4 linked regions of the Pelodiscus sinensis genome follow. The protein of the gene in region 1 binds, or shares a complex with, the protein of each later gene. Links are inferred from orthologs where the notes say so. Each region holds a gene or a part of one and is shown in the gene's direction. Other genes may lie near its edges. The genes, in order: PAK4, LIMK1, ITGB5 and INKA1.

What was found.
Region 2: the proteins of PAK4 (region 1) and LIMK1 are in contact, whole or in part, in a crystal structure (PDB 6WLY), measured with the Homo sapiens proteins. The link is inferred for Pelodiscus sinensis from reciprocal best matches to the Homo sapiens genes PAK4 and LIMK1. Residues at the interface, in NP_001014831.1 of Homo sapiens: Glu329, Gly330, Ser331, Gln358, Arg359, Leu362, Thr404, Asp440, Lys442, Ser443, Asp444, Phe461, Leu475, Val476, Gly477, Thr478, Pro479, Tyr480, Trp481, Met482, Glu507, Phe516, Pro520; in NP_002305.1 of Homo sapiens: Lys505, Arg506, Tyr507, Thr508, Val509, Val510, Gly511.
Region 3: the proteins of PAK4 (region 1) and ITGB5 are in contact, whole or in part, in a crystal structure (PDB 7S46), measured with the Homo sapiens proteins. The link is inferred for Pelodiscus sinensis from reciprocal best matches to the Homo sapiens genes PAK4 and ITGB5. Residues at the interface, in NP_001014831.1 of Homo sapiens: Gly330, Ser331, Gln358, Arg359, Leu362, Thr404, Lys442, Ser443, Asp444, Asp458, Phe461, Leu475, Val476, Gly477, Thr478, Pro479, Tyr480, Trp481, Met482, Glu507, Glu512, Phe516, Asn517, Glu518, Pro519, Pro520, Met524; in NP_002204.2 of Homo sapiens: Ser762, Arg763, Ala764, Arg765, Tyr766, Glu767, Met768, Ala769, Ser770.
Region 4: the proteins of PAK4 (region 1) and INKA1 are in contact, whole or in part, in a crystal structure (PDB 4XBU), measured with the Homo sapiens proteins. The link is inferred for Pelodiscus sinensis from reciprocal best matches to the Homo sapiens genes PAK4 and INKA1. Residues at the interface, in NP_001014831.1 of Homo sapiens: Ser331, Gln358, Arg359, Glu361, Leu362, Thr404, Asp440, Lys442, Ser443, Asp444, Phe461, Leu475, Val476, Gly477, Thr478, Pro479, Tyr480, Trp481, Met482, Arg489, Glu507, Glu512, Phe516, Asn517, Glu518, Pro519, Pro520, Met524; in NP_976248.2 of Homo sapiens: Gly178, Arg179, Ser180, Arg181, Gln182, Pro183, Leu184, Val185, Leu186, Gly187, Asp188, Asn189, Cys190.

The regions. Positions count from the first base shown.
Region 1 is NW_027465946.1:419,718-426,738, forward strand, and holds the start of PAK4 (serine/threonine-protein kinase PAK 4), read left to right. Parts: upstream 1-4,016; 5' UTR 4,017-4,017; coding exon 4,018-4,042; intron 4,043-7,021. UniProt on the Homo sapiens protein: Serine/threonine-protein kinase that plays a role in a variety of different signaling pathways including cytoskeleton regulation, cell adhesion turnover, cell migration, growth, proliferation or cell survival.
Region 2 is NW_027465956.1:66,401-74,406, reverse strand, and holds the start of LIMK1 (LIM domain kinase 1), read left to right. Parts: upstream 1-5,004; 5' UTR 5,005-5,104; coding exon 5,105-5,162; intron 5,163-6,256; coding exon 6,257-6,353; intron 6,354-8,006. UniProt on the Homo sapiens protein: Serine/threonine-protein kinase that plays an essential role in the regulation of actin filament dynamics. Acts downstream of several Rho family GTPase signal transduction pathways.
Region 3 is NC_134717.1:11,252,617-11,260,573, reverse strand, and holds the start of ITGB5 (integrin beta-5), read left to right. Parts: upstream 1-4,949; 5' UTR 4,950-5,402; coding exon 5,403-5,481; intron 5,482-7,957.
Region 4 is NC_134721.1:46,340,369-46,348,133, reverse strand, and holds the start of INKA1 (PAK4-inhibitor INKA1), read left to right. Parts: upstream 1-4,765; 5' UTR 4,766-7,329; coding exon 7,330-7,509; intron 7,510-7,734; exon of another isoform or gene 7,735-7,765. UniProt on the Homo sapiens protein: Inhibitor of the serine/threonine-protein kinase PAK4. Acts by binding PAK4 in a substrate-like manner, inhibiting the protein kinase activity.

The DNA.
Region 1 (7,021 bases):
GCCAATAGAGCTTTGGCTACTATAAGGCACCTTCTGTCTGTTGTTGCTTCAGCTGAGCTGATACTATGCATGGCAGGGTGTCTTGGTAAGCTCCCTCAGGCAGCAACTGTCACGAACGTGCTGTAGTGGGGCCCTGGTCCATGCTTGTCTCCTAGGTGTTACCATGATACCAATAACTCATTTCCACGGCCACCAGAACCAGCAGTGTCAGCCAGGGTAAACCGAGCTCAGCCACTTCTCAGTGGGGGCCGTGCGAGTTAGTTGAGCTTAACTTACCCCCTGTCCATAGAACTGCTACGCCACTGAGCTCAGATGTTCTTTGCAGAAAACAGAATGTGCTTCAAGACAAAGGCAAGTGTGCAAATGACATCACTCAGGGCTTTTTCAGGGTGGGGTGAGGCTGACTTACTCTGACCAGTGTGCCTAAGTCAGGATAAGGCAGATCTGTTTGGGGAGCTCCATACTTGGAACCCCACAGCAGCCTGCTTCCCGGATATATGGAAGAACCCAGCTTTTTGGCAACCCATGGGTTTTCTTGCAGTCAGACTCTCTCTCCTCTTCATTGTATTACTTTGGTATGTGAAGGTGGTGCTAGGAGTTGCCAGGGTTTGTGCACACACTCCTGGGTGTGTGCTGGCAGGAAGGAGTGCTCTGCTGTGTGTTGTTTATCCATGGCTGGGAAAAGTGTTGGTTAATGGCTGACTAATTAAACGAGGCAGAGAGATAAAGGGAATGTGACCTGGGTTAGGACTGCAGGCTGTGGAATGTGTCACTCTAACTGGAGCACAGTTTGGTGTGGAGCTGCAAGAGGGGAACAGTAAGGGGAATGTTGCAGGGGAGGGGAAGGGTTAGACCAGCTGGGCAAAATGATCATGAAAATTCATCAGCCAAGATCCCAAACCTGCTTCCTAAATGTGAGGATGGCAAAGCTAGTCCTTGCTGCTTCAAAAAATCACCCTGAGTCCTAGATTGCTCCCTCCTAGCCTTGGAATGTAGGGTTTAAACAGCCACCGTGGTAGCTTCCCCCTGGAGAAGGGACTTGAGGTGCCCCCAGCCTTCTCTGCTCCAGCCCACCAAAGTACACTCGCCTCCCAGAGCAGGGGCTAGAAGAACCCAGGAGTCCAGTGGCAATGGGATTTGCCTCATATAATTTCTAAAGCAAAACCTTTTAGGGGAAAAAGCCCATAAGGTAGAGTTTTGCAAGATTAATGTCCATACTGAGCTGGAATAATTGGATGGCAGTAGTTGATCTTGTAGCTCTGACCAGTCCTGCATAAGGCTTGGAGGGGGTGTTGCCAATATACTAATATCGTGTGTGTATGTGTGTGTGTGTGTGTGTGTGTGTACACACACGCATGCATGTGCAAAATACATCTGGTGTAAAGACCCATGTGCTTCCTGAGAAGCAGGCATAAGCCAAACCCCAGCCCAGCACTTTTGAAAATAGTCTCACAACAGGGTAGTGAATTCCTGCTTTTTTCATTGATAAGACTCAGGTATTGTGCTGCTGGCTGCAGGTTTCTGCTGGGACAAAAAGGAGAAACTTGACTCACTGGGGACCAAAGATCCTAGCAAGAAACTTTCTTGGGACAGTGAAAAGAGGGTGTGAGGTGGTTACCATCCCCTGGGAGGCTTGTGACACTGAGTCATTACCTGGAAGTGGGGTGAAGCTCTTTTCCTGGATGATACAAAAAGCTGGCCATCACTCCAGTGTGACTAATAGGGACTAGGGAGGCATAGTTGTGGGCATTGAGGCTTTTCACTAGTGCTTAACTCAGGTGAATGCAGGCAGCAGGTTTCCCTGAGTCAGCAAATCAGGTAGGTGACACAGCAGTGCTTGGCCAGCCCTGTGGATGCTGGTTCTCTGTGAAGAGAATGATTCCTGAGCACGAGGGCTGGGGGGCTCTCTAATAGGCCAGAAGGTCACTGTGAAAATCAAGGCATTGGAAGCTGTTTTCCTTAATTGTGCCTATTGTAGAGCCTAAGCACAAGCCAAGATGGGGACCCTCGTACTTGGTGGGACAGAGTAGTAGGCTGTCCCTTCCCTAAGGACAGGGCAGCATTTGCTACTCAGAAGAAACTGGATGGGGGTGGGGTATCCGTGTGGGGAAAGATGTTCCCCACACTCCACAAATACCCAACTTGCCCTGTGCTTCAGGAGTACCAGATGGCTTTGAGCTTCTTTATAGGATGTGCTGGGGGGAAGGGAAATCTTGCAGGCTGGGAAAGAGGGTCTCTCCTGGTACATGAAATACACAAGCAGCTGAAGAACATCTGAGACCGGCTGGATGCCTTCCCACTTCATGTGGGAGCTGGGCAGACTGCAGGGGGAGCTAGCTACAGTGACTGAGGTCTGTGACCACAGCTGGCCAACACATGAGGTCTCTAGCACCTGGGAGGATACTTCTGCCTTCCCCTGTATTCTTGCCCCTCACCCCTCCACTTGCAATCTAATCAGTCACCTTTTGAGTCCAGGTCTCCTGTCCCAAAGGAGCCGTTGGGTGGATTGGGCTTTGCTGGAAGTGAAAGAGAGGCCTTTCTCCTTTTGTGTTCACTACTTGCTGAAAATGCCACTGGACCTGCGCAGGGAACACGCTTGAGAGCATAGGACTCAGGTTAGGAGCTCTGTGTATTGTATCTGCCCTCGGGAACCCATTAACTGGTTAAATGTAACTTGTATTTGATTAACTATTAAACAGGATTTTATATTCCTAATGCAAATAGGAGTAATACCCGTTGGGCCTCCCTTGTCCGGCACCCTGGACCTGAGTGGTCCTGAATGAGGGAGTTTGCTGGACCAGAGGAGGTCAGGCTCAGGCTCTCCTGGGGCTTCCCTGTGAGTCGCTGATCTGGCCAGTGCTCTGCCCTGGGCCTACTGGCAGGGCTTCCTGCCCCTGGCTGCACTCCTGGCCAGTAGGGCTCCCTGCCCCAGTCACTGGCCTTGCTCCGGGGGCTCCCTGTCTCGAGGACACTGAGCTCCCACCCATTGAGGTCCGTGACTGGGATCCTTTGGTCCATCAACATCCGTGGTCCTGCCGGACCAGAGAGGTTCATCCTATATTTGTCTCAGCAGCCCCTGGGATAGGCATTAATGGTTTAAGTATATAAAGCTCTTTGAGATCCTCTGACCAGGCTGCCATATAAGTGCTGAGTACCACTTAATCCCTGTGTGAATTCAAACATAACAAACCCCTTCCATTTTAACAGGGCACAGGTTGCTTCATTTCCTCTTCTAAACTAGTGTGTATACGGCTTGTGCTGTGCAGCTGCTGCCACATTCCACCCAAGAGGTGGCTGTATTTCAGTGTTGTGGCGTATTATATGGCAGTGTTTCTCAACCTTTTTTTATAAAGTACCCCCCCCCCCCGTGCCTACAATTTTCAGACACACACCATTTTTTTTCTACCATTGCAATACATTTCTTTTAAACAACTTAATTGTAGCCGGGCAGGTGATGACATTTTTGGGTGTAAAAAGTACAAAAATAATAAAGCACTGTAAAACTGAAAACAAATTCAGTTTTCTCCAAATTTCAGTTGTTTTGATGTACCCCCCAGACTTCTTTCGAGTACCCGTAAGGGTATGTGTACCACTGGTTGAGAAACACCGTTATATGGGACTGAGATGAACTAGAATGCCTGTTTTGTATGGCAGTGTTTTTTGTCTTGTTACCTTACTCCTTTTGTTGTGGGACTGGAAAAGCTGCCAGGGAAACTTGCAGAAGCAGATCCCAGAGGGAGCTTGGTAAGGTTAAGTGCTGGAATTTACAAACCGAGTGGGCGGGATCTCTGACTCCTGGCCTGGGAGGAGCAAGTAGGCAGGCCAGCTGGTTGGTGCTGGAATGCTCCTAACACATGCAATTCAATCTTGGAATGGGGGAAGGAAGGCTTCTGCCAACCAACCAACTGACTTCTGTGGGAGGAGCTGCAAGGAGACAGGGAGGAGGAGTCTAAGAGTAATAAATAAGGAGCATCTGTTTGCAGTTGCCGCACAGCCTCCTGCACTTCACCAGTAGAGATGCAGTCCCATGAAGAAATGGCATGTAAGTTTTTCTTTTGAATGCCTCTTTGCCTTGTAAGTAGCACAAGTTAATGCTCTGTGATCCTTACGGACGGCCTCTTGTTTCAGAGGAGCTTGGTCAAAGGCCTGATATCCAAGTGGTGTGTATCTGGTGGCCAAACCTGATCCAGTTAGCCGAGGTAACTAGGGAATGAGATGTGAAGCGCTCCAAACAAGTGGGGGGAAACAAAAATGCTTCTGCAATCCAGTCAGGCACACTGCATTCCTGGGATGTGGCCAAGTTTAAGCTTCTCTCAGTGTAGTGGAAAAAGAACTGATGGGACAGGGTGCAGTCTGTGGTCACCTCTCTATGGCAAGCACTTTGTTGGAAGATGCTGTAATACGGGGAGGGTTTTTTGGTCATGCTCTGTCAGCCTCCAGAGTCTGACCAGGCTCTGTCCATCTCCTGTGCTTTTGTGCTGTACTTGGAGAGGTTGCATATCTTCTCCCATTAGTAGACATGAATAATTTGATGTGCCTTTCCAGACCTGCCAGTGTCTGGGTGGGCGAAAGAACAATGTGGCCATTGCATGTCAGCATCCGTTTCCGATGGTTTCTCATTTAGTACTTTAAGAAACAGATAATTTAGAACAAAAACCAATCAAGTGGGGAGCAGTCTGAAATGCCGAGCTTCCTTTTCTTTTTCATCATCTGTTTCCATGTTCTTGATCTGTTCAGAACTCTTTCAGCTGCGTTGGCTGCTTTTGTCAACAAGCTGGCCTTTGTTTTGCCATCAGGCACCAGAGGCAGCAACAGGGTTGGAACTACTTCGGTGCTGCATATGGGCAGAAATCTTGCCCTCAGACTTTCGCTGGCGTGAAGATCTGTAGGGATTATCTCTCTTAGTTGCCCTGCTGATGTAAACCTAGTCCTCACACAGCCAAGGTAACCTGGCTATAGGCGAGTGAGTGTTCTGCAAAGGTACCAACAGAAAAGGGTGGAAGGCATCTTTTTGCTTTTTTGGTGTTTACAATCCATGAATGGCTCTAAAAATTAAGTCTTCACATTCATATTTTGCCGTTTTGGCGTTGGGTGGGTTAAACACGTGTGTATTAATCTGCAGATTTTCCAGTGCTGTCCCTTAGGATTCCAGGTCCTAGTCCTGGGAATTTTACCCAGGAATGGGCATCAGTCTTGCACTTGATATCGCGGGAGCAGCGTCGGGGTAGTAAGTGCAGTGCACTGCACACCCGTCACATCCAGGGAGACGCCTCCACCGATCAGCTTAATCCATCCTGTCTGTTGAATTGTTGGGACCAATAGGCAGCGCAGGGATTGCGGCTATTTCTGTCCCAACTGGGGGAGGGTCTGGTTAGCTGTGGGGACTCTCTTGGGTAAAGAGCATCTTGAACTGGTGACCTACACATCCAGAGCAGGTCTGGAGTGACGCAGCTGGATTGTTCAGTGGCGTATGTGAGCTGGAAGCCCTCGCTGGCACCTGGCCACCCTCATTCTTGGCAGGCTTGGCACAGAGATCATAGGGGTGGAAATCCTCTGTCATCGCTAGTCCTTCCAGGTCAGAGGGGAAGCTGGCCAGGCTCCTGCCTGGATTGTCCAGTTGTGTGGATTAGGACTCTGTGTTTTGTGCAATGCAATTCATTTTAATCCATGGTTGGGTGCCTTCATGCTGCACTAACCTGCTTAATACTAAAAACCATGAGCAGTCTGGGGCAACGTAGAGACTCACAAATATATTCGATCAGGTGAGAAGTGGGTTTTACCCAGGAGAGCTCCTGCCCTAATGTAATTTGCAAGCTCCACCTTGCTGCCTCTATTAGTGAGAGAGCCACATTCCTGAGCCCCCATCATCAGGGTGACCTAGCCCCAGGGTGCAGGCAGCTAGAGCAGAGGGAACGTTCTTCCATCAGCCCAGCGGCCTTCCTTAGGGAGGTGGGTTTGCTGTTATGACTGAGAAATTCTGTCTATTGCTGTAGAAAGCGTCAGCACTAGGCTGCCCATAGCACTGATGTGGCCTCCGTTTCCAGAAGCTTCCATGTTGCATCTTTACTAGCACTAAATTTGTAGGGCCTGGTCCTCTCTGGAGCCTGGCTAGTACTTGGATGCAAATCAGCTGGGAACCCCCGTGGGTGCTGTAGTTAGCCCTTCTTTACAATGTTTCTCCTTAGTTTATCCATCCCCCTGTCCTTCCTCTCCCCACCCCCCTCAGCAAGGATTCCTCTAGAGTCAGAGAGTTTACTTGCAGGAGTAAAGTTTGCATGAGAGCCCTAAATAGTTCATCAGTTCAGAAAGACCAAGAAACCCTGTGGCACCTTGGAGACTAACACACATATTGGATCATGAGCTTTTGTGGGTAAAACCCACTTCATCAGACGAATTCAGAAGGTGTTTCATGCAATTCTGTTGCCTGAGCAATACATTAAACTCTGTGTGTGTGTTAAAGATGTAAATCCAGAAATACTCCTGGTGCCGCATCATTGAGAATCTGCTTTGTTCCCTGTTAACCCCCTGACCTCCTCTCAGCTAAGGAAGACGGCTGTGCCCACCCACTGCTGCTTTGAGGAAGCCAGGATGTTTGCAGACACCTTCTGGGTTCCTTAATGCACTCAGCTGATAGTTCACCAGAGTCAGGTTACACTAGGGAGGAATGAGGCTCTGGCTGTTTCCTAAAGAGGCGTCGGTTTTCTCTTGCTTTGCCCCTTCCCCCCCATTACAAATTTTGATTCAACATCTGGTTTTTGAGTTTTAATTTTTCATTCATTCATAAGAGGAAACTCTTCTTGTCTCATTCACGCTGAGGATGACTCGACTTGTCTCTTAGCAATGTGCTCTGAGGATTTGGGGGTAGAATGAGATTGACGAGTGCCTACATCACTGTGTCTGAGAAGCTTGGTAAAGGAGTTGCTGCAGATGCTTGCCTACTCCGGGCCCACCAGGTGATGTTGCCAACCAGCTGCATTTAATAACATTGTATTATGGGGTTGGCTTGGATGAGCCAGCTGTT
Region 2 (8,006 bases), on another chromosome or scaffold:
GGGGGGTCGGTCGCTGGATGGATGGATGGGTGGGGGGGGTCGGTGGATGGATGGATGGGTCGGGGGGTCAGTCGGTGGATGGATGGGTCGGGGGTCGGTCGGTGGGTGGATGGGCGGGGGGTCGGTCGGTGGATGGATGGGTCGGGGGTCGGTCGGTGGGTGGATGGGCGGTGGGTCGGTGGGTGGGTGGATGGGTCGGGGGGTCGGTCGGTGGATGGATGGGTCGGGGGGTCGGTCGGTGTGTGGATGGGTCGGGGGGTCGGTGGATGGATGGATGGGTCGGGGGGTCGGTCGGTGGATGGACGGATGGGTTGGGGGGTCGGTCGGTGCATGGATGGATGGATCGGGGGATCGGTCAGTGGATGGATGGCTGGATCTGGGGGTTGGTCGGTGTGTGGATGGGTCGGGGGGTTGGTCGGTGGATGGATGGATGGGTTGGGGGGTCTGTCGGTGGATGGATGGGTCGGGGGGTCGGTCGGTGGGTGGAAAGGTCGGGGGGTCGGTCGGTGGATGTTTGGATGGGTCGGGGGTTCGGTCGGTGGATGTTTGGATGGGCCAGGGGTTCGGTCGGTGGATGGATGGATGGGTCGGGGGTTCGGTCGGTGGATGGATGGGTCGGGGGGTCGGTCGGTGCATGGATGGATGGGTTGGGGGGTCGGTCGGTGCATGGATGGACGGGTCGGGGGGTCGGTCGGTGGATGGATGGCTGGATCGGGGGGTTGGTCGGTGTGTGGATGGGTCGGGGGGTCGGTCGGTGGGTGGAAAGGTCGGGGGTTCAGTCGGTGGATGTTTGGATGGGTCGGGGGGTCGGTCGGTTGATGGATGGATGGGTCGGGGGTTCAGTCGGTGGATGTTTGGATAGGTCGGGGGTTCGGTCGGTGGATGTTTGGATGGGCCGGGGGTTCGGTCGGTGGATGGATGGATGGGTCGGGGGGTCGGTTGGTGGATGGATGGATGGGCCAGGGGTTCGATCGGTGGATGGATGGATGGGTCGGGGGGTCGGTCAGTGGATGGATGGATGGGTTGGGGGTTCGGTCAGTGGATGGATGGATGGGCCGGGGGTTCGGTCAGTGGATGGATGGATGGATGGGTCGGGGGGTTGGTTGGTGGATGGATGGATGGGCCAGGGGTTCGGTCGGTGGATGGATGGATGGGTCGGGGGGTCAGTCAGTGGATGGATGGATGGGTCGGGGGTTCGGTCAGTGGATGGATGGATGGGCCGGGGGTTCGTTCAGTGGATGGATGGATGGATGGGTCGGGGGTCGGTCGGTGGATGGATGGGCCGGGGGGTTCGGTCAGTGGATGGATGGGTGGATGGGTCGGGGGTCGGTCGGTGGATGGATGGGTCGGGGGGTCGGTCGGTGCATGGATGGATGGGTTGGGGGGTCGGTCGGTGCATGGATGGATGGGTCGGGGGGTCGGTCGGTGGGTGGAAAGGTCGGGGGGGCGGTCGGTGGATGTTTGGATGGGTCGGGGGTTCAGTCGGTGGATGTTTGTATGGGTCGGGGGGTCGGTCGGTTGATGGATGGATGGGTCGGGGGTTCGGTCGGTGGATGTTTGGATGGGCCGGGGGTTCAGTCGGTGGATGGATGGATGGGTCGGGGGTTCGGTCGGTGGATGTTTGGATGGGCCGGGGGTTCGGTCGGTGGATGGATGGATGGGTCGGGGGGTCGGTCAGTGGATGGATGGATGGGTCGGGGGTTCGGTCGGTGGATGTTTGGATGGGCCGGGGGTTCGGTCGGTGGATGGATGGATGGGTCGGGGGGTCGGTTGGTGGATGGATGGATGGGCCAGGGGTTCGGTCGGTGGATGGATGGATGGGTCGGGGGGTCGGTCAGTGGATGGATGGATGGGTCGGGGGTTCGGTCAGTGGATGGATGGATGGGCCGGGGGTTCGGTCAGTGGATGGATGGATGGATGGGTCGGGGGTCGGTCGGTGGATGGATGGATGGGTCGGGGGGTCGGTCAGTGGATGGATGGATGGATGGGTCGGGGGTCGGTCGGTGGATGGATGCATGGGTCGGGGGTCGGTCGGTGGATGGATGGATTGGTCGGGGGGTCGGTCAGTGGATGGATGGATGGGTCGGGGGTCGGTCGGTGGATGGATGGATGGGTCGGGGGTCGGTCGGTGGATGGATGGATTGGTCGGGGGGTCGGTCAGTGGATGGATGGATGGGTCGGGGGTTCAGTCGGTGGATGGATGGATGGGTCGGGGGGTCGGTCAGTGGATGGATGGATGGGTCGGGGGTTCGGTCAGTGGATGGATGGATGGATGGGTCGGGGGTCGGTCGGTGGATGGATGGATGGGTCGGGGGGTCGGTCAGTGGATGGATGGATGGGTCGGGGGTTCAGTCGGTGGATGGATGGATGGATGGGTCGGGGGTCGGTCGGTGGATGGATGGATTGGTCGGGGGGTCGGTCGGTGGATGGATGGATGGGTCGGGGGTTCAGTCGGTGGATGGATGGATGGGTCGGGGGGTCGGTCGGTGGATGGATGGGTCGGGGGGTCGGTCGGTGGATGGATGGATGGGTCGGGGGGTCGGTCAGTGGATGGATGGATGGGTCGGGGGGTCGGTCAGTGGATGGATGGATGGGTCGGGGGTCGGTCGGTGGATGGATGGATGGGTCGGGGGGTCGGTCAGTGGATGGATGGATGGGCCGGGGGTTCGGTCGGTGGATGGATGGATGGGTCGGGGGTCGGTCGGTGGATGGATGGATGGGCCGGGGGTTCAGTCGGTGGATGGATGGATGGGTCGGGGGTCGGTCGGTGGATGGATGGATGGGTCGGGGGGTCGGTCGGTGGATGGATGGATGGGTCGGGGGTTCAGTCGGTGGATGGATGGATGGGTCGGGGGGTCGGTCGGTGGATGGATGGATGGGTCGGGGGGTCGGTTGGTGGATGGATGGATGGGCCAGTGGTTCGGTCGGTGGATGGATGGATGGGTCGGGGGGTCGGTCAGTGGATGGATGGATGGGTCGGGGGTTCGGTCAGTGGATGGATGGATGGGCCGGGGGTTCGGTCAGTGGATGGATGGATGGATGGGTCGGGGGTCGGTCGGTGGATGGATGGATGGGTCGGGGGGTCGGTCAGTGGATGGATGGATGGATGGGTCGGGGGTCGGTCGGTGGATGGATGCATGGGTCGGGGGTCGGTCGGTGGATGGATGGATTGGTCGGGGGGTCGGTCAGTGGATGGATGGATGGGTCGGGGGTCGGTCGGTGGATGGATGGATGGGTCGGGGGTCGGTCGGTGGATGGATGGATTGGTCGGGGGGTCGGTCAGTGGATGGATGGATGGGTCGGGGGTTCAGTCGGTGGATGGATGGATGGGTCGGGGGGTCGGTCAGTGGATGGATGGATGGGTCGGGGGTTCGGTCAGTGGATGGATGGATGGATGGGTCGGGGGTCGGTCGGTGGATGGATGGATGGGTCGGGGGGTCGGTCAGTGGATGGATGGATGGGTCGGGGGTTCAGTCGGTGGATGGATGGATGGATGGGTCGGGGGTCGGTCGGTGGATGGATGGATTGGTCGGGGGGTCGGTCGGTGGATGGATGGATGGGTCGGGGGTTCAGTCGGTGGATGGATGGATGGGTCGGGGGGTCGGTCGGTGGATGGATGGGTCGGGGGGTCGGTCGGTGGATGGATGGATGGGTCGGGGGGTCGGTCAGTGGATGGATGGATGGGTCGGGGGGTCGGTCAGTGGATGGATGGATGGGTCGGGGGTCGGTCGGTGGATGGATGGATGGGTCGGGGGGTCGGTCAGTGGATGGATGGATGGGCCGGGGGTTCGGTCGGTGGATGGATGGATGGGTCGGGGGTCGGTCGGTGGATGGATGGATGGGCCGGGGGTTCGGTCGGTGGATGGATGGATGGGTCGGGGGGTCGGTCAGTGGATGGATGGATGGGTCGGGGGTCGGTCGGTGGATGGATGGATGGGCCGGGGGTTCGGTCGGTGGATGGATGGATGGGTCGGGGGTCGGTCGGTGGATGGATGGATGGGTCGGGGGGTCGGTCAGTGGATGGATGGATGGGTCGGGGGTTCAGTCGGTGGATGGATGGATGGGTCGGGGGGTCGGTCGGTGGATGGATGGATGGGTCGGGGGGTCGGTCAGTGGATGGATGGATGGATGGGTCGGGGGTTCGGTCAGTGGATGGATGGATGGATGGGTCGGGGGTTCGGTCAGTGGATGGATGGATGGGCCGGGGGTTCGGTCAGTGGATGGATGGATGGGTCGGGGGGTCGGTCGGTGGATGGATGGATGGGTCGGGGGGTCGGTCAGTGGATGGATGGATGGATGGGTTGGGGGTTCAGTCGGTGGATGGATGGATGGGTCGGGGGTCGGTCGGTGGATGGATGGATGGGTCGGGGGTTCAGTCGGTGGACGGATGGATGGGTCGGGGGTCGGTCGGTGGATGGATGGATGGGTCGGGGGTCGGTCGGTGGACGGATGGATGGGCCGGGGGTCCGGTCAGTGGATGGATGGATGGGTCGGGGGTCGGTCGGTGGATGGATGGATGGATGGGCCGGGGGTTCGGTCAGTGGATGGATGGATGGATGGGCCGGGGGTTCGGTCAGTGGATGGATGGATGGATGGATGGGCCGGGGGTTCAGTCGGTGGATGGATGGATGGGTCGGGGGTTCAGTCGGTGGATGGATGGATGGATGGGTCGGGGGTCGGTCGGTGGATGGATGGTGAGCGGGTCGGGGCTGGGCGGATGGGTCGGGGGCTCAGCGAGGGGGGGTCGCGGGATACTTTACAGCCCCGGGGGTAGCTGTTTGTCTGTAACTTTCAAGCGAGGGCTCCTGCGGCACCGTAGGGACCGACACACGGAGCCAGGCGCTTTGGTGGGCGAGCCCCGCCGCCTGAGCGTGTGGCGGGGGGGCCCGGGTCATCGCCCGCGGCGCCAGCTGCTGCCAGGGGTCCCGGTCCCGCTCGCCCCCCTCCCCTCCTTCTGTGGCGGCTCTTTCCCAGGGCGCCGCGCGGTTGGCCAGCCCCGGCTGCTGCTCCCGCCCCGCTCGCCGAGCGTGGCCCTGCCCTCCCGAGCCTGCCCGGCGAGCCGGAGCGAGCCCGCCGGCGGCGCGCCCAGGCCGGCGTCGGCCGCATGAGGTTGATGCTCCTGTGCTGCACCTGGCGGGACGAGCCCATGGGCGAGGAGGAAGGTTCGTAGCGCGGCCCGGCCCGGCCCGGCGCCGCTGCGCTGCAGATGGGGGCGCCCCGCCAGCCGGCTGCGGGCAGGAACCGGCGCCGCTTCTCCGGCCCGGCCCCGGGCTCTGCTCGCCGCCCGCGGGCCCCGCGCCGTGACCTTGAGCAGCCGGGGCCGGGCGGGGCACCGAGCCCCCCCGTTCTGCGCTAGGGAGGCCTCCAGGGCGCGTCCCACTGCGGGCAGCCCCGGCCTCTGCTGAGCCAGAAGCTGCCCCCCAGCCCTGCTGCCGGGGGGCGCCGCCGGGATCCCTGCTCCACCCTGGCCCCTGCATCCCTCGCCAGGAGGCCCGCGTGGGGCCGGGGCTGTCCGCAGCCCTCGCCTATTCCCAGGGCATCAGGGGCCGGGTCACCTGCAGCCTCCCCTCCAAGGCCCCCCCCTTGCAATGTCCTTTGCCAGCTGCGCCCCCACCCTGGCTGCGGGGGGCTCATCCTGTGCCCGCCCCTGGCTCCCGCTCCTCTGAGCTGGGGCCTGGCCTGGGGTACAACAGCCCCTCTTGTCCTAGCTGCCCTGCCCACGCGCCAGCGCACGGCCCCTCCCCGGGCCCACCTATCACCTTACTGCTGTGGGCAGCTCCGCTTTCAAGCTGTTCTCTTTCCACCTCCCACGGAGCTGGGTGCCCTCCCAGCCTCTGCTGCCAGCGCCAGGGCCTCTGTCCTGGTAGTGGGGAGCAGGCAGCAGCCCCCCTGCTCCTGCTGGCACCCTGCATGTCCAGCCTGCTGAGGGGCAGACTCGGTCCCCCCTCCTCCTCCTCTGCCCAATCTCTGTTCCCCTTCCCCCTTTCCCCTCTCCCTTTCACCCCCCACGCCTCATCCTGCCTTCACTGCATGCTCCTGCCCATGCATGCCGGCTCCTCCTTCTCCTCCCTCACATGGGTCCTCTGCCCACGGTGCCCCCTGCTGCCCTGTCCCTTTCCCACCCACTCCCCTGCCCACATCTTTCCCCATGGTTGCCTTAACACGTGCAGGGCCCTTGGAGCCAGACTGGCTCTCCTGGGCCTGGCTGTGCCCTTGCACGTGGGTGTGATAGCCAGTGCCTCTCTGGGCCCTGCAGGAAGCGACCTGCCTGTGTGTGCAAGCTGTGGGCACAGTATTTACGATGGACAATACCTGCAGGCCCTGGATGCCGACTGGCACACCGACTGCTTCAGGTAGGAGCCTCCAGGGGCAGCCTCATGCCCCAGCCTGGCCGGCTGGGTACAACAAACACTAGAAGTCCAGGGACAGATGCTGGTGTCGCCTCCTGGTCGTGGCCACAAGGTGGCAGTGTGTGTGTGTGTGTGTGTGTGTGTGTGTGTGTGTGTGTACACAGGCATATCTCACTCACACAGATATACACGTGCACTTCTCACTTACACACACGCGCGCGCATATACACGTGCGCTATCTCGCTCTTACAGTGTCCTGCACACATATGTACACGCGCACACACTGTCTCACACAGAAACACACACACACAGTCTTGCACAGATATACACATGTGCATTGTCTCACAGAAATATACACACACACAGTCTTGCACAGATATACACATGTGCATTGTCTCACACAGAAATACATACACACACATACATACACACACACACACTGTCTTGCACAGATATACACATGTGCATTGTCTCACAGAAATACACACACATACAGTCTTGCACAGATATACACACGTGCATTGTCTCACAGAAATACACACACACACAGTCTTGCACAGATATACACATGTGCATTGTCTCACACAGAAATATACTGTGACGACGCGTCGGGATTTTCCCATCTCCTGCACCCCCGAAATGGCATGAACAGACTTCACCAGCCAGTAGAATGGAGGTTGTTTATTGTTCCTCCAGCACAGCGCAGCACAGATGTAATCTGGTTACAGGAACTGGGGCTAAGAGGCCTCAGTGCCCCCCTTGAGATAGGGGAGTCCCAGCCCCCCCCCCCAGCTCCTTCTTCCCTGCCTTCCAGCCAGGAACTAACTTCCCCTCTTCCAGCCCTGCCCACAGCCAGGGCAGCATTCCACCTCCCTTTGTTTCTCCCCATGGGGGGCCGCAGGTCAGACAGGTTTTTGAGTCACCTTTGCATAATGAGGTTTTCCCTGCTGGGTCTTGCTCCAGACAGCAGAGGTCACCACAGCCCAGCAAGTACCCCCACTACGTCACATATACACACACACAGTCTTGCACAGATATACACATGTGCACTGTCTCACACCCACAGCACTCTTGGGGTGAGGTGTTTTGGGAGGTGGGGGGGTTGCAGTTCTCCCTACAGTCCCGCAGGGCCACACTGGGATGGTGCTGTGGAGTCCTGGCACACCCTGGTGGTTTATGATCCTTGCTCTCTGCTTTGGATTCTGGCTTCCCTGGGCTCCTCTCTGCCCCCAGCACAGACTCTGCTGGATACATCTCGGCCTTCGGCGCCGGCCAGGTACCTCCGACTGCAGCCCCCCGCACTCAGGCAGTCAGGAAGGGCTGTGCCAGACCCAGACCAGCCAGGGAGACCGGGCATCCCTGCTGCAGTTGGGGCCTGGCTGGGGAGTGCGGGCGGCTTTGCTGGGCCCCATGGGTGATGCCCCTCATGCCTGGCTGGGCACAGGCAGGGCCTGGCACGTCGGGCAAGGGGGAGGGACTGGGAGCGTCCAGCGCCCCACGTCCTTCAGCTCCACCTGTGCCCACGGTTTGCTGCCAGGCCCCTCCCTGCCACTCTGCTGCAGGCCTGGCCTCTCCCAGCAGAGGGCGCTGTGGGGTTTCTAGCAGGTGCAGGACCACGGGGAGGGGCTGGGAGCAGGCAGCAGCAGCCCTCCTGTG
Region 3 (7,957 bases), on another chromosome or scaffold:
ATTTCAGGCCTGGGAAGAGGGGAAGGAAGAGGTGGGAGGAGCAAAAAAGGGGAGACACACAACCACCCCCCAGCCTGGAAGGGGGAGAAAAGAACCCTGTTGCAGTCTTACACAATTCTGGCCTGAGAAAAGGGGTTTCCATATTCCTCATGGAAAAAATGCTTATAAATAGCAATGACGTAACTAAAAACACTTTCTATAAAATACTTCAAGTAACATGTCATTTAAGAAATTATAAACTGCTGAATGTGTATATTTGTGTGCATGTGTCATTCCTGTATTTAAAGTATAAACCTGACTACTCATGTAGATGTGCTAAGTGAGGGCCATTAGTAGTACTCAAGGAGCTTAAAAGCCTTGTACTTGGGACAATGATCTGTGAATAGTCTTATTCTTCCTATAAGCCTGGACTATGGCAGGTCCTACAAGACATGTGGCCAGGGCACCTGATGTTGGAACCCATCTTGGATATCATACTTTCTCACTGAAGGTGAGAAAAGTTTGAACTGAACACAAAGGATTCCAGATTTGGGTAAAATCTGTATATAAGCAGGAAACCAATTGGGATGATAGCCAGATGCCAGGACACCCCTGTTTGCCATCTAAGATGTCTGCTGCAAACATGTGGAACTGAATATTAAGACTAGGCCCAGATGGGGAAGGCTGCCCAGTCTGTGACAGATGCTGGTTAAAAACTTCAGGGTGAAATTTTATATGTAGCAAGTTTCTTAGTTCTGGTCTACTCTAGGGAGTTATTTTGTAATAATTTCCCTTATTTTGAAATAACAAGCAGAATGTTCACACTACCAAGCCCATTATTTCAAAATAACTCCTGCTTTTTACGAGGAATAATGCTAATGTTGAATAGTTATTTTGAAATAATGGTAGCGTGGACGATCCGGTGTAGCTATTTTGAAATAACTACTCCCCAGAGTAATTCAAACTAATTACTCCCAGCGCTTCCTGGGGCTCGAAGTTGAAGGAGCATGTCCACATTAATGAAGCCTGCCTCAGACTAATTTTGAGACTTCCCCGTAGTGGGGGGACGCTGTTTCAAAATTATTATTTTGGGAATTATTATTTTGAAATAAGTTATTTTGAAATAATTTCCTAGTGTAGACAGGTCCTTAGTGTCTTCAGTTTAGCTGGCACATTTTGTTTTGCTCAGCAGATAGATCAAAGTAAAAATAATTAGGCAATCTCCATTAATTAATTTTTTATCGCCTAGAACTGAAAGGGACCTTGAAAGGTCATCCAGTCCAGTCCCCTGCTTTCACAGCCTGACCAAGTACCATCCTTGGCAAATTTTTGCCCCAAATTGCCTCTACAAGATTAAACTCACAACTCTGGGTTTAGTAGGCCCATGTTCAAACCACTGAGCTATCCCTCCCCCCTGAAGTAAAAGTAAGTTCCTATTACTTACAACTACTTAAATCCTACTTTTTATACTTAATAAAATCACATTTTATTAATAAACCCAGTGTAAATATTATCCTGGCACAGAACAACAGCTGTGCATAACTTTTTAATTGATAAACTGGGTGAACAATTTATGAGATTGCACTGTATAAAGTTTATACAGAGGAAGATAGATTTTTCTGGTCCCATTGAGGCTATGCACCTGAATGCTGTGCCTACTCCCTTTTACTAACCCTTCCCAGAGCTAATGTCAGTGTCTGTGTTGATTTACTGGGGGCTGTGACCCCAACTCTGTACCATCGCTGGAGGAGACTAGAGGATCTGGCTCAGCAGGCCAGGCTGGTGGGGTGCCACAAAGAGCAGGTAGGCAGGTTCAGTGGTATCTCAGTACAGGCAGTCCCCGGGTTACGTACAAGATAGGGACTGTAGGTTTGTTCTTAAGTTGAATTTGTACGTAACTCGGAACTGGCTCCAGATTCAGCCACTGCTGCTGAAACTGACCAGGGGCTGACTACAGGAAGCCCTAGGCAGAGTTGCTCTGCCCCCAGCTTCCTGGAATCAGCCACTGATCAGTTTCAACAGCGGCTGAATCTGGAGCCTGGGACAGAACAGCTGGGGCGCTGCCGGGTAGGTCCCCCCAGGACCAACCCGGCAGCACCCCAGCTGCTCTACCCCAGGCATCCACAACAAAAGCCTGGTCTGCTGGGCGGGGGGGGGGGGTGCACTAGCTGCGCCCCCTCCCCCCCCAGCAGACCAGGGAGACCCGGAGCAAAGCCGCGGAGGCGGCGGGGTCACGCGCCTCCAAGGCTTTGCTCCGGGTGTCCCTGGTCTGCTGGGGACCCCCCCCCCCAGCAGACCAGGGACACCTGGAGCAGCTTTTTTCGCCCCGGAGGATGTAGTGGCGGGACTACTGCGCGTCTGAGTGGTCCCGCCACCCGCGAGTTCCGGGGCGAGAAAAGCCCCGTTCATAAGTGTGGATCCGACGTAAGTATATCCCTATATATGCCTGTATATCAAGTGACGGTTTGAAGGGGATCTCTGTTAGGGAAGGGTTGCAAAAGTGAAGGTCCAAGTGTTGCAAGAGGAGCAGGGGTGAGGGAATGGGCAGAAATGATCAGGAAGGGGGTAGGGTGTTGTGATATAGCACTGATTGTTTGCAGTGGCGGCCCATCAATACAGGCAAACTAGGTGGTCACCTAGGGCGCTAAGTTAAACGGCCATTGAGGGCTTTGGAGGCGGGCGCGCCGATCGCATGTTTCGCCCAGGGCGCCAGTTGCCGGCAGCTTGTCTAGGGCCGCTCCTGATTGTTTGTTTAGCAGAGGGTTAAGGTGGATGTGAGGGCAAAAGTTCCTGTAGTGGGGGCCAAAATTACTGCATAAATTTAAAAGTTTTAGGGGGTAGCAGAGTTAGTCTGTACAGAATGAACTTTAAAAATAAGGAATAGTCTGGTAGCATTTTAAAGACTAACAAAACATGAGATGGTATCATGAGCTTTCATGGGCACAGCCCACTTCTTCAGATGACCAAAGTGTTGGATGACTAGAACTAAAATAAATGGGGGAAAAGAAGGGGGAAGAAGAAAAAAAATTAGAGAGGGGGGAACAAGAAGAGGTAGTGGTTATAAAAATATCAAGGGGATATTTATACTCACTACCTCTTCTTGTTTCCCCCCCCCTCCCGTTTTTTTCCTTCTCCCCTATTTATTTTAGTTCTGGACATCTAACACTCTCGTCATCTGAGGAAGTGGGCTGTGCCCATGAAAGCTCATGATACCATCTACATGTTTTGTTAGTCTTTAAAGTGCTACCAGACTATTTGTTGTTTTTTTAGTGTATCACATAAATTTAGGAGTGTTGGCAGTCTAATTGTGTCTCCCACACACACAGACTGGGCACTGGTGGAAGAAGTACAAAAATCAAGGCAGGCCAAATACACATTATAATCTTTAAAACAATAAGCAAACCCAACCCAGCATGATTGTTGTGGGGTCTGACTTAGGGTTTTGTAATTTCAGGGTTAAGACTGCTTATTCCCCTTCCCATGTGAGAAGAAGCTGTACATTTATCCTGGTACAACTGTGTCCACCTTAAGGGGTTTGTACTGCTGTATATATATTGGTATAGTGAAAGTGGCACGTTTGTGTGTCAACAATTCCTAACAGAAGGTTTGAACATAGATAACAAATAGTTAGAATAAATCCAGTTTCATAATCTTTCCTAGTTATGACAACACAATTGACCATTTTTTCAAAAATAACTCTGAACACTATAATATTTACATATGTAAATGTTTACATATGTAAATATTAGATTTAGGAATGGAGATGTGTGCACTTCGTGTCTCTTAGGCTCATACTCTGTCTCAATCCAGCCAGACAGGTAGTGGAAAAGCTTTTAGAATTCAAGCCTAAACTAGTATAACTAATTACTGGAATTTTCCTTTAATATTACAGAACTGGGTTATAATCCATGAAAAAGAAAGTAGTAAATCAAAACAGCAACTGAAACGCCTTAATAAACCCACAGTCGGCCTCTAGAACTGAAATGTTTTCTAACTGCTACAAATGGATAGAAAATATGTTTTTTTGAACCTGCTTCTGAAACTGTAGAAGGTAGCGAGGAAATTCAGGGAATTATATTTAAATAATCCTTCCACTTGGAGTTAACAGTAGACAGGCGATTCTATAGATCTGAATTGTTCTTTATGTTTCCAGAAATGCACTACAAGACATTAATGTAAGCAAATGGAGGGCAGGCATTAAAAGAATTGAATTTGTATTAGTAAAATGTTGATTTCACAGTGTGTACACAACTGATGAAAAATACTTCTATTGAAAATAAACATTTATAGACAGACCAAATAAGAAAAACTTGTTTTGAAAATGTATTAGTTTGATTTAAGGATACTGTATATTTGTATTGTAACTGTATATTTTTACATTTAATATTGACAATTTGTGTTTAAATGGTTATGAAACTTTTACTTGTTGAATCTCAGCATATGCCATCACTAAATAATAACTAGGCTCCTTCTTAGGTGACAATTTCTCACAACTCTAAAAATTAAAGTTGATAAAAATATAAAATGTTTAGGAATAAACATTGACATTAGCCACTGAATTTACAAAAAAATAAAAAGTGAATTCGGCCAAGCCATGGCAAGTTATAAAACCATACCCATTTGGACAGGAGGTGTGTGGGTTGAGAATTTGTGTGAGGTACGTCTTTGTAGCTGTTTGCATACCTCAGAGTATGTGTTTGAACTGTCTGGGGCGTGTGCGATTGTGTGGGTTTAATTGAAAGTCTTGTGCGTGCTGTGTATCCGGGGGCAGAGTGCTGTGAGGGTGTGTAGGTCAGGGGTTGTGTGTCTGGGTGGAGCCTGGGAGCGATTGTGTGTCTATTGGCGTGTGTGCGCCGGGCGAGGACTCCCAGCGGGCAGCTAAGTGTTCAGCAGCCCTGCGTGCTCACGGGTCAGCTGGGGGAGATTTCTCAATCGCTCCGTCTTGCAGGCAGAAAGTTGCTGAGCCTTGGAAGCGTGGGGCAGACCCAGGGGGAGGAGACCGGAGGAGGGAGCGGAGCAGGCGGGGAGGGAGGGGACAGCAGCAGCAGCGTGAGCCAGAGCCGGGCAGGGCGCGATGAAGGGATTCCTCCGAGGGCTGGGGAACGGGGCGGTCCCACCACGCAGCTTGTGAGCCCGCGGCGCTGCAGCCCAGGCCGGCGCCGGCTGCTGATGGCCGGGGTGGGGATCCCCTGAGGGCGGGAGGCGCGGCGGGGCTCGCTGCATGGTCCCCCCGGGGCGGCGGCCGCTGTGACCTGGCCGCCGGGGCAGTAATGCCTGCCCGCCAGCCCGGCATCGCTCCTGCCGCCGCGGCCGAGCAGCGCGCTGCCCCCTGCCGGGCAGGCAGCTGCGGCTCCAGCTGTTGCCGCCGCTAAAGCCGCCGCCGGGCGGGAGGGAAGCAGAGCGCGGCGGGCTCCTCTGCAGGCATGCCCCGGAGACGGGGGCTGGCTCCCCCCAGCGCCGCCTGCCTGCTGCTCCTCTCCTCCCTGCTCCCCAGCCTCAGGGGTAAGTTGGCTCCCGGGCCCGGCGGGTTGTTTCGAGTTGCAAACTGAGGAGTTTTCGTTGCGGGGTTGCGAATGGGAACAGGCAGCGCTGTGGGGCGTGCGGCGTGGGGTGGGGCGAGGGAAGTGACTAATTGTGGGGGTCCTGGCAAGCACCAAATTCGGGGGGCCACAGTTCTGGATTTGGTCCCCTCTCCGCCTTTCTTAGAGGGGAACCCCCCCCCCCCTTCCTGGGGCTGCCTCTTGCAGGACAAAAGGCTCCTTGAAAACACTTTGTGGTTTGAAGGTTGTAAATAACCTGTTGTTTTGAATTCCATTGCCTTGGTCCTGGGGCTTTCTCCAGTCCAGAGCCTTTCGACTCAAAAGCTCTGTCCAAGCGCTGTCTCTCTCAGAGCTCCCTTCGCCCACCACTGAGGGGGCAGCCACCGCAGATTGGGGGCATTTATCCAGAAGAGATCTCTGTAGTAGGTCCTCCCCTCCCCGCCTTGCGAGCCAAGGACTGTTCATGTCGGGGAGAGGTGTTTTGAATGCCTGGGTTGGCTCTGTCATAAGTGGCTTTTGATAAAGGAGTTGAATTAGTTTCATGGAGAATTGTATCTGGTGTAAGGCTGATGATGCAGTGCAGAGTTACTCTGAAACACCTTCAGAAATGCACCGGGAAAGGGAGAGATCTCACCAAGTGCATGCACGTGCATCATCCTTTTACAGTCCATAGTTCCCCTAGTTAAGCCAAACAATGAAAGCATGAGTTTGTTTTACCTGTGCTTCAGAAAACAGCCAACTCCATCAAATTTGGGGGCAGGTTGTTACATTTTATTTTTGTAAATGGTGTCAGGGTGCTCAAGGGTTTTTGGATAGGTGTGTCCCTTTTTACTATCAATCCGAATGGGGGGAAAAAAATCCCAGAGACCACATAACCAAAAATAACTTTCATGCTCTGTACTTTTAAGTTAGTCCCAATTAAATAGAGCAGTTAACCAGTGCAAAGATTCTCTTGATTTTTCTTCTGTGTTTTGTTTGTGTTTTATATTCCAAAATGTTTACTGTTTATCATATATTTTTTCAGTTTCCAAAAATCACAGTGGTAAATAACAACCACCTGTGCCTTGTTGTTCAAAACTTCTGTAGCTTTAAGAAATCACACTTGAAGTGTGTTGTCTTCAGCTAAGCCCAGGAAACCTCATGTGATCAGCTTACCCTTCTGTTACTAGATCTCTGGACGTGTCTACACTACATAACTAATTTTTAAGTAATAACTCCCAAAATAACTATTTTGAAATAGTGTGTCTGCATTACAGGGCAGCCTTGAAATTAGTCCGAAGCCAGCTCCCCTAATGGAGATGTGCTACCTTGACTTAGAGCCTAAGGAAGCACTGGGGAGTAATTACTTTGAATGACTCTGGGGAGTAGTTATTTTGAAATAGCAGCAGTGGAGTGTCCACATTATTGCTATTTTGAAATACACGTTATACCCCGAGGAAAGCAGGAGTTATTTCGAAGTAACCAGCCCCTTATTTCAAAATAACAGGCTTTGTAGAGTGGACGGCTTTGTGTAGTGTAGTTTGGCTTTGTAGTGTAGTGTTTCATGTGTTACTCTGAAATAACAGTGTTGACCAGGGCTTTGTATCCAGGTGCAGCAAAAATTGTCACAATAGCACAAGAAGTAGTTATCTGAACAGGCCTGTTATTTTTCTCTAAGTGCCCTGAGAGACTAATAGAGAGCATGCCAAGAGTCATATTGACTAGAGAGCAATTTTTATGAAGGGCTTTAATTTCCAATAGTTTCTAAACAATTTTTGTGTTTTGCTCCATAGTGCAAAGAACTTGCATGTTGTTGCTCATTGGCAAATATCTAGGTCCTCATGGGGTTTTTTTCATTTTAATGCCTTACATTCAGAATTGGTAGAGATTTGCTATTATTGAATGTGGTCTAGAGACCACATCCCTGGATGTGGACCACCTTAAACTTTGTGGATCAGTATTTTACAACTCAAACCATTCTCTACTTGGCATGAAAAGGAATAATGTTGATTATAATCAACTTCAACTGAAGAAATATTCCTTCCTGGAATTTTGGTTAGGCTTCTCTGAGTGTTTGGGTTACAGGCCTTCAGTGATCTAGATGGAGAATAACAGTATTAATAAAAACCATAAACTTGTTTTATTATATGTTGATATCTAGGCTGCCTTTCCTTATATTGCTCCTGGCTCAGGTTCAGGCCTAATGTGAAGATTGCACTTATTCTAGAGAGCTGTCATTGTTCTCCTCAGCAGGGATGCTTTTATGGCTCCTGGACACCTATTAAAACAGCTCTGATAATACTGGAAATGGCATTCTCTGTTAGTGTAGTACTGGTCTTTTATAAAGAAAGCCCAATAAACTGCTTTGAGTTCACTATTCATTTATGTATCCTTTGTGTTTACATTTTTAACTAGCTTCATTTACAAGCTATTCATCCTGTGAATAGTGCTATAGCCTG
Region 4 (7,765 bases), on another chromosome or scaffold:
GAGATCACACTGAGCTCGACACAGCCCCGGGCTCAGTGCTCCTCCGGCGCAGGCAGCAGCTGCTCGCTGGGAACCCAGGGGTCCGGCCGCAGGCCCAGGGAGCTGTCTGAACGGGGCTCCACTCTGGACTGCAGGGCTTGTGCTTCCTGCTCCTGTCACCCCAGCATCCAACTCCTGAGATCCTGCCCCGGCCGACTCCTGACTCCAGTACAGTCCCCGCCCGGACCAGCCACAGAACTCAGGCTCGCAGAGGCTGGGAAGGGGGCTGCCGCCAGGCCGAGGGGCTGGGTTCTTGGGCCTTGTATTTCTAGTTCCAAAGTCTGAGCTTTCAGAACAGTCGACTGTTACTCCTGCACCCCCGCCCGGTCGGTCAGCGCTAAGCCCGATTTCCTTGTGATTCCTCCGCACGTCTCAGGGCTGCTTGGCTTTGCCCCGACTGATGAGAGAAGCCAGGGCCGCCCTCAGCCCTTTGTGCCTTTCTCTGATTCGGCTGCTGGGCGCTCGGGTCTCTCAAAGTGGGAACAATAGCTCTGGGCTGGCCAGCAGCCAGGCCAGTTATCAGCGCCCATCTGGAGCGCCAAGGAGCAAGGAATGGGTCTTCCTGCTGCAGGATTTTCTTGGCTGCTGGGCCAGTTTCCTGCGGGTAACAGGCCTGCTGGGAATGCAGCCGAAGCTCTGCGTCATTGTCCAGCCCAGGCAGGGGACCCAGCGTGGCCAAGCTGTGCTGAGCGAGGCGGGGCAGAGGCCTTACCAAAGACCGGCTCAGTCAGAGCACAGTGGGAGCATGGCCGGGCTGTGCGGCTGGGGCCAGGCACATGGAGCAGAGTCTCTGCAGTAGGCTGGGTCGCTGGGAGAAGAATCCACATTGCCCGGCTTGGCTGGAAGCCCGGCTCAGCACTCGACGGCAGCCACTGGTTTGCTGGGCTTCACAGAGCCACTCTTCCCTTGCACGAGTGCCTTCACAAGCCATTTTCACCAGGGCTTCCTCGTGCATCAGGCTTCCTCCCAGGGGCCTGTCACTTGCTCTGGGCTGTTTCCCCTTCATGCAGCTTTGGCATCAGGGCCTGTTCCCCTGCCATGGCCCTTGGCCCTGGCTCTCTCGTCCCTTCTCTGTGCTGGTTAGGCCTCAGCTGGAGGACTGGCTCCAGTTCTGGGCACCAAATTTCAGGGAAGATGTGGAGACATTGGAGACGATCCAGGGCAGCTCATCCACTCTCTTTGGTCTGCTTCATCCATCTGTCTGCCTGGGCACGGCTGTCTGTCCGTCTGTGTCTGCCTGGGCGTGGCTGTCTGTCTGTCTGTGTCTGCCTGGGCGTGGCTGTCCGTCCGTCTGTGTCTGCCTGGGCGTGGCTGTCTGTCCGTCTGTGTCTGCCTGGGCGTGGCTGTCCGTCCGGCTGTGTCTGCCTGGGCGTGGCTGTCTGTCCGTCTGTGTCTGCCTGGGCGTGGCTGTCCGTCTGGCTGGGCGTGGCTGTCCGTCCGGCTGTGTCTGTCTGGGTGTGGCTGTCTGTCCGTCTGGCCATGGCTGTCCGTCCATCTGTGTCTGGCTGGGCGTGGCTGTCCATCCGTCTGTGTCTGGCTGGGTGTGGCTATGTGTCCATCAGCCCTTCCCTCACGTGACCCCCACACTTAGGCTCATTGTCTGCACTGTCTGTGCCCAGGGCACCCCCAGAGCACATCCCGCTCTGCCAAAGCCAGGACTGAAAGCAGATGCCCTGCTGCCCAGCAGTGGGTACAGCGCTAGGGCAGCAGGGGGCTGTAGGCTGGGAGTGGGGGGGTCGAGTGGCCAGGGGGCAGTGTTCCCTCTAACCTGTGCAGCAGCCCAGCTTCCCAGGTGATTCATCGCCCCCCACCCCCGCCCCACGGGGAGCCCTGAGCCTCTGTCTGGGCGGGGCCGATGAAGCACTTGTCATGCTGGGCTGCAGTGGCTGGGGGTTGCAATGGCGGGGGCACGGGGACTGGAGGCGGGTGGGAGCCAGGGCTCTGGGCTGGGAGGTTTGTGGGCTGGGGGCTAAGCTGACCCCCAAGGGGGGAGCTGGCGAGGGCACAAGGCAGCTGGCACGTGGGGCGCAGGAAGCAGCCCTGCTCTCAGCCGAGGCCCCGGCTTCTGCTCCAGCCCCAAGCATGGCCCGGCTCGCAGCGAGCGCAGCCGTTCCATTGCAGTGACCGGGGCACCGCTGCTTTCCAGTTGCCCTGTGCACTTCTGTCCAGTGGAGGCTCCAGGGGCCTGGCCCAGGGCTGGGGAAGGGGCAGCCAATGTCAGCCCTAACCCCTCCGTGCCAGGGCACAGGCATGGGGTGGGGCAGCACAGTCCAACGTGAGCCTGCGACTGGCCCTCCAGGGCAGGGGCAGCCCCACAGCTCTGCCCACGGCCTCGCCGCCATGCAGAAAGACTGGACGACACGGCCTGAACCACTGCTCTATTCCAAGGTCCCTCCTGCCTGCCCGGAGCCAGGCTGGAACCCAGGAGTCCTGGCTCCGGGTGCGGGCCAGGCTGTGCGCGCTCTCTCCAGGGAGCTCCAGGCTGTGGCTGTGGAGGGCCCAGCAGCCGCCCCAGCTCGGGAGCCGGCTGGCGGGAGGGGCAAGCACCCGCAGACGCCTTTTGCCGGAACCAAAGTGGCAGATTTTAAATGGTGTTTAGGGTTATATACAAATATGCAAATTATTTGCTAAAATGCAAACTGGTTCGCGGAGTGATTTGCATGTAGTGCCAAGGGGGCAGTCGGCTCCTTTGCCATCTCAGCACATGGGCCTGCCCAAGAGCCCAGCCGGGCTCTGCTGGGCAATGGGGCAGCCTAGGAGGCCCCACGCCAGCCAGAGCAGGAGTGGGCATGTGGGGGACCAGGGCACATAATGAGTGCAGGGGGCTTTCCCCAAGCAGGACTGGGGCAAGGGGCCCAGCTCTGGGGCAAGTCCCAGAAGGAGACATCAGCTTGGCTGTGGAGAGCCACAGCAGCCTGTCAGCCCCTGGTCTGGGCGGCCCACATGGCAGCAGAGCTGAGGGGGCGCAGCGACCCTGGTCCAGAGGGTGCCTGCAGCGCTCTCCCCCTTGGCGTCCAGTTCCCAAGGACTCGGGGAGAAGTGTGTGTGGGGGGGGCTGCTGCAGAGATCACTAGCATTAGGGCAAACCACAGTCCACAGGTCATGGCCACGAACCCAAGGGTCTGCATGGAGAGCTGGGCCAGGCCAGGAACGTGCATGTGCATACACACGTGCAGACACGAACACGTGCACCGATAGGTGTGCAAACACACACGTGCACCTAGACATGCCTGCAAAGCCCCACACAAATGTGTATATGATCATGCCCGCACACAGACACAAGCACAGAGCACAGCTGTGCACTAGATGCGCACGCACGTACACTAGATGCGCACGCACGTACACTAGATGCACACGCACGTACACTAGATGCACACGCACGTACACTAGATGCACACGCACGTACACTAGATGCACACGCACGTACACTAGATGCGCACGCATGTACACTAGATGCACACGCACGTACACTAGATGCGCACGCACGTACACTAGATGCGCACGCACGTACACTAGATGCACACGCACGTACACTAGATGCGCACGCATGTACACTAGATGCACACGCACGTACACTAGATGCGCACGCACGTACACTAGATGCACACGCACATACACTAGATGCACACGCACGTACACTAGATGCACACGCACGTACACTAGATGCGCACGCACGTACACTCAAGAGAGGATTTCTCACCTGGTGCCTAATGCCCAAAGGAGCTCACCTGGCATGAGGCCCCCGCCGCCTTTACCAAACCAGCAGCCTCCGGCCGGTGCAACCTGAGCCATGTCCCCTTGGGACACTGGGGGCTTGGACCAGGATCCTGGGTTTAAAGTGCAAGAGAACTCCCCCCCGCCCCATGCGACCCCACCCCCTGCAGGTGTATGGCCTGGGCTGCAGGAGGAGGTGGGAATGGTGGGGCTGGGGTGCTGCTCTGGGGCGACTCTAGACTTGGCCACCTGAAACGCAGGAGGTACTGGGCCCCAAAGGGCATAGTGCTGGGGCCAGTAGGGGCCCAGGGCTGGGGGGCCGATAGGGGCATCTGGTGCCCGGGGCTGGGGGGCCGGTTGGGGCGGCTGGTGCCCGGGCTGGGGGGGGGCCGTTTGGGGCGGCTGGTGCCCGGGCTGGGGGGGGGGGGCCGGTTGGGGCGGCTGGTGCCCGGGGCTGGGGGGCCGGTAGGGGCGGCTGGTGCCCAGGCTGGAGGGGGGGGGCCGGTAGGGGCGGCTGGTGCCCAGGCTGGAGGGGGGGGGCCGGTAGGGGCGGCTGGTGCCCGGGGCTGGGGGGCCGGTAGGGGCGGCTGGTGCCCGGGGCTGGCGGCTCGGCCGGGGCCCCTCGCGCCGTCGGGCCCCGGGATGCCCGCATCGGGCTCCAGCCCCCGCCGCCCCGGGAGTCACGTTACTGCGGCCGCCCATTGGCCCGGCGCGGCCCGGGAAGGGGAGGATCGGGGCTCATTGGCTGCTCCGGGCGGGGGCCGGGCCTGGGACGGCGAGCGCCGGGACCAGCTCGCGGCTCCGGGCCAGCGCCGGGCGCCCTGGGCTCCAGCCCGCCGAGCCCCGACATGCGCCGCGCCCGGCTGGACGCCTCCCTCGGCCGCCTGCGCGCAGAGGTGGTGAGTGGCCGGCGGGGCAGGGCGCGGGGGACCCTGGCAGAGGCCAGGGGCGCGGGCCGGGGCGTCTGGGGCGCGCCTGGCACCGCGGGGCGGGTGGCCCCTGCCCGGCTCCGGGACTCCCCGCGGGCAGACCTGCCCTCTCTGCGCGCTGGGCTGCCCGGCTGGGGGTTCCCGCGGAGCGGGGCGCTGTCTGGCCACGAGTTCCAGACGTGAGCAGGGACTCGCGAAAAGCCAGAGGAGCCTGCGCCCCCCCCCAGCCGGGCCTATGGTCCCGGCGCCCCGCGTGACCCGGGCACTGCCCCCTTGTTGTCCCCCCATGGCCCTGGGCATGTCTGAAAATCTGGCTCCTTGCCAGGGTCCCGGTTCCCGTGTGGGGCAGCAGGCGGGAGCGCTCAGCGTGGGGGTTGCGCTGTCTCTGTGGGCGGGGGGGGGTTCCCCTCGCTTTAGGCTGCTGATACAAAGCGGCATTTTTGTTGTTTTCCAGCTGATGTCAACAGTGTGCCTAAGAGCTGGTTGGGGTGACAGGACAGTGCCATCAGAGATGGGGGGCAATCAGCCACCAGGCACAGTGACATCATAGCGGGGAGAGCCAATCAGCCACCAGGCACAGTGACATCAGAGATGGGGGGACCAATCAGCCACTAGGGACAGTGACATCAGAGCGGGGAGAGCCAATCAGCCACCAGGCACAGTGACATCAGAGATGGGGGGACCAATCAGCCACCAGGCACAGTGACATCAGAGATGGGGGGGGACCAATCAGCCACCAGGCACAGTGACATCAGAGATGGGGGGACCAATCAGCCACCAGGGACAGTGACATCAGAGCGGGGAGAGCCAATCAGCCACCAGGGACAGTGACATCAGAGATGGGGGGGACCAATCAGCCACCAGGGACAGTGACATCAGAATGGGGAGAGCAATCAGCCACCAGGGACAGTGACATCAGAACGGGGAGAGCCAATCAGCCACCAGGGACAGTGACATCAGAGATGGGGGTGAGCTAATCAGCCACCAGGGACAGTGACATCAGAATGGGGAGAGCAATCAGCCACCAGGGACAGTGACATCAGAATGGGGAGAGCCAATCAGCCACCAGGGACAGTGACATCAGAGCTAGGGAAGCCAATCCAACCCCCTAGGTATAGTGACATCAGAGCTGTGGGAGCCAATCAACCACCAAGGATAGTGATGTCAGACCTTGAGGAACCAATCAGCTACCGGGGGTGGTGATGTCAGAGCTGGGTGCACCAATCCCCACACACTGGCTCAGGCTTTGGGCTTGACAAGTGATAGTAGCTGCTGTTGAGCCCTTGGGGGTCTGCCCTGGGGCTGAACAGGGAGGTTGTGTAGCTGTCCCAGAGCCCTGGGCATGACCTCTCTGCCTGCCGGGGGCCTGGCCCTGGCCATCGGGCCTGCCTGCTGGCCGGGTATTTTCCTGAGCAGCAGCTCAGGGCGAGTCTGGCCCAGTTCAGGCTGGAGCTTCGGCGGAGCCAAGCGGGTGCCAGTTTCTGTGGCATTGGAGGCCAGGCTGCCAGGCCCAGCTGCTCCAAGCCACCCCCTGCAGGACTATGCTCAGGCAGCTGGCTTGGCCCAGAACAGCCTGGGAGCAAACCCAGAGCTGGACACCCCCTGGGTCCCTTGGCCCCCGAGACTATGTGCCCCATGCTCTGCGGTGCAATTAGGAGCTGGCACTGACACATCTCTGGGACAAAGCCTGTGGAGTGAGCCTGCCCTTGGTGCCATCGCCACTGGCAGGGCCACAAGGGTGGCGATGGGTCGGTGGTTGTTCCCCTTGTGGCACGGGAGCGGCCTGGGCTCGGGCCCCGTGTCTCGGCTGTGGCAGTTAGAGGGGCCGGGCTGCAATTGCCAAGGTTTCCTTCTGGGAAGTGCAGCCGCGCCCTAAGCAGCGTGCTGAGCGGGAGCCGAGGCGGTTAGTGGGCGTGGTGGGACGTGGGGGTGGTAGGAAGCACGAAGAGCCCCACCCCAAAGCATGGAGCTGGCAGCACCAGGGAGTGTCTCAGGCCGGGCTCGCCTTGCTCAGGCCCTAAACCCGTCTGCTCCACGGCCTGGCGGCGCCTGCCCTCGCTCCCCTCCAGCCACGCACACCCCTGCTGGCCCCTACGCATACAGCACCCAGGGCTTCCCTGCTGTCGGCAAGAGTGGGGGCTAGTGGTTAGAGCAAGGCCAGGGCATGGGACAGCTCCGGGGGTGGCACTGAAAAGGGATCTGAGCAGGTCCTGCTGGGGGTGCCCTGCATGGGCCTGGCCCTGCTGCATAGTTCAGCTCTCTCCTGCCTGGGCCCAAGGCCTGCGCCGGCTGCGTGGGGAAGCGCCCCTGCCCCGTGGTCTATTCCCAGGCTTCTGCCCTGCACTGCAGGGTTTGGTGGGACCCAGGGTCCCCCCACGTGGCTCTGCCCCCCAGTGCCGAGCTCTCCCTGCCCCTGCGTCTCTAGCCAGGCTTGGCTTGCACAACTCCAGCTGCTGCTTGCTTGTCACGTCCCGGGCTGTGGCTGCAGCTGCCGGCAGGGCGGGGCGGCTGCTTGCTCACCCCGACATGCTGCAGCACGCGGCGGGGATGGGCCGCTGAGTGCAGGAGCAGCCGGAAAGTGGTGCCCTGGGGCTGGGTGCGCGTCCAGGCAGTGGGGCCTTGCGTGTGCGGCTCCCCTCACAGCTCCATGCCCAGCCCAGGCAGACGCTGCTGCAGCTGCAGAGACCACTGCCCGGGCCCAGCCTGGTGCCCTCAGCACCGCAGGACGGGCTGTGGCCGCCGGAGAGGAGACAGGGACTCAGCCCCCAGCTGGCCTCACTGCCTGGGAGCCCAGAGCCTAGTGAGTCATCTGGGAGCTGCCCTGGGGGTGAGCAAGGTGGAGACTGCAGGGAGGCAGCCGCTACCTGGTGGCCATGAGGACGCTGCATGTGGGGGGAGGGTGGGGGTGGGACAGGATGTGCATGGGGGAGGGTGTTGTGTGGGGGGGGTTATGGAAGTGGGGGGAGCAGGAATGTATGGAGGGAGCTGTGGGGACAGGGCAGAGGATGCATGGGGTGGTGGTAGGGCATGGGAGGCCATGATGTGTATGGGACATTTGGGGGCAGGGCGGGGCAGGGCATGGA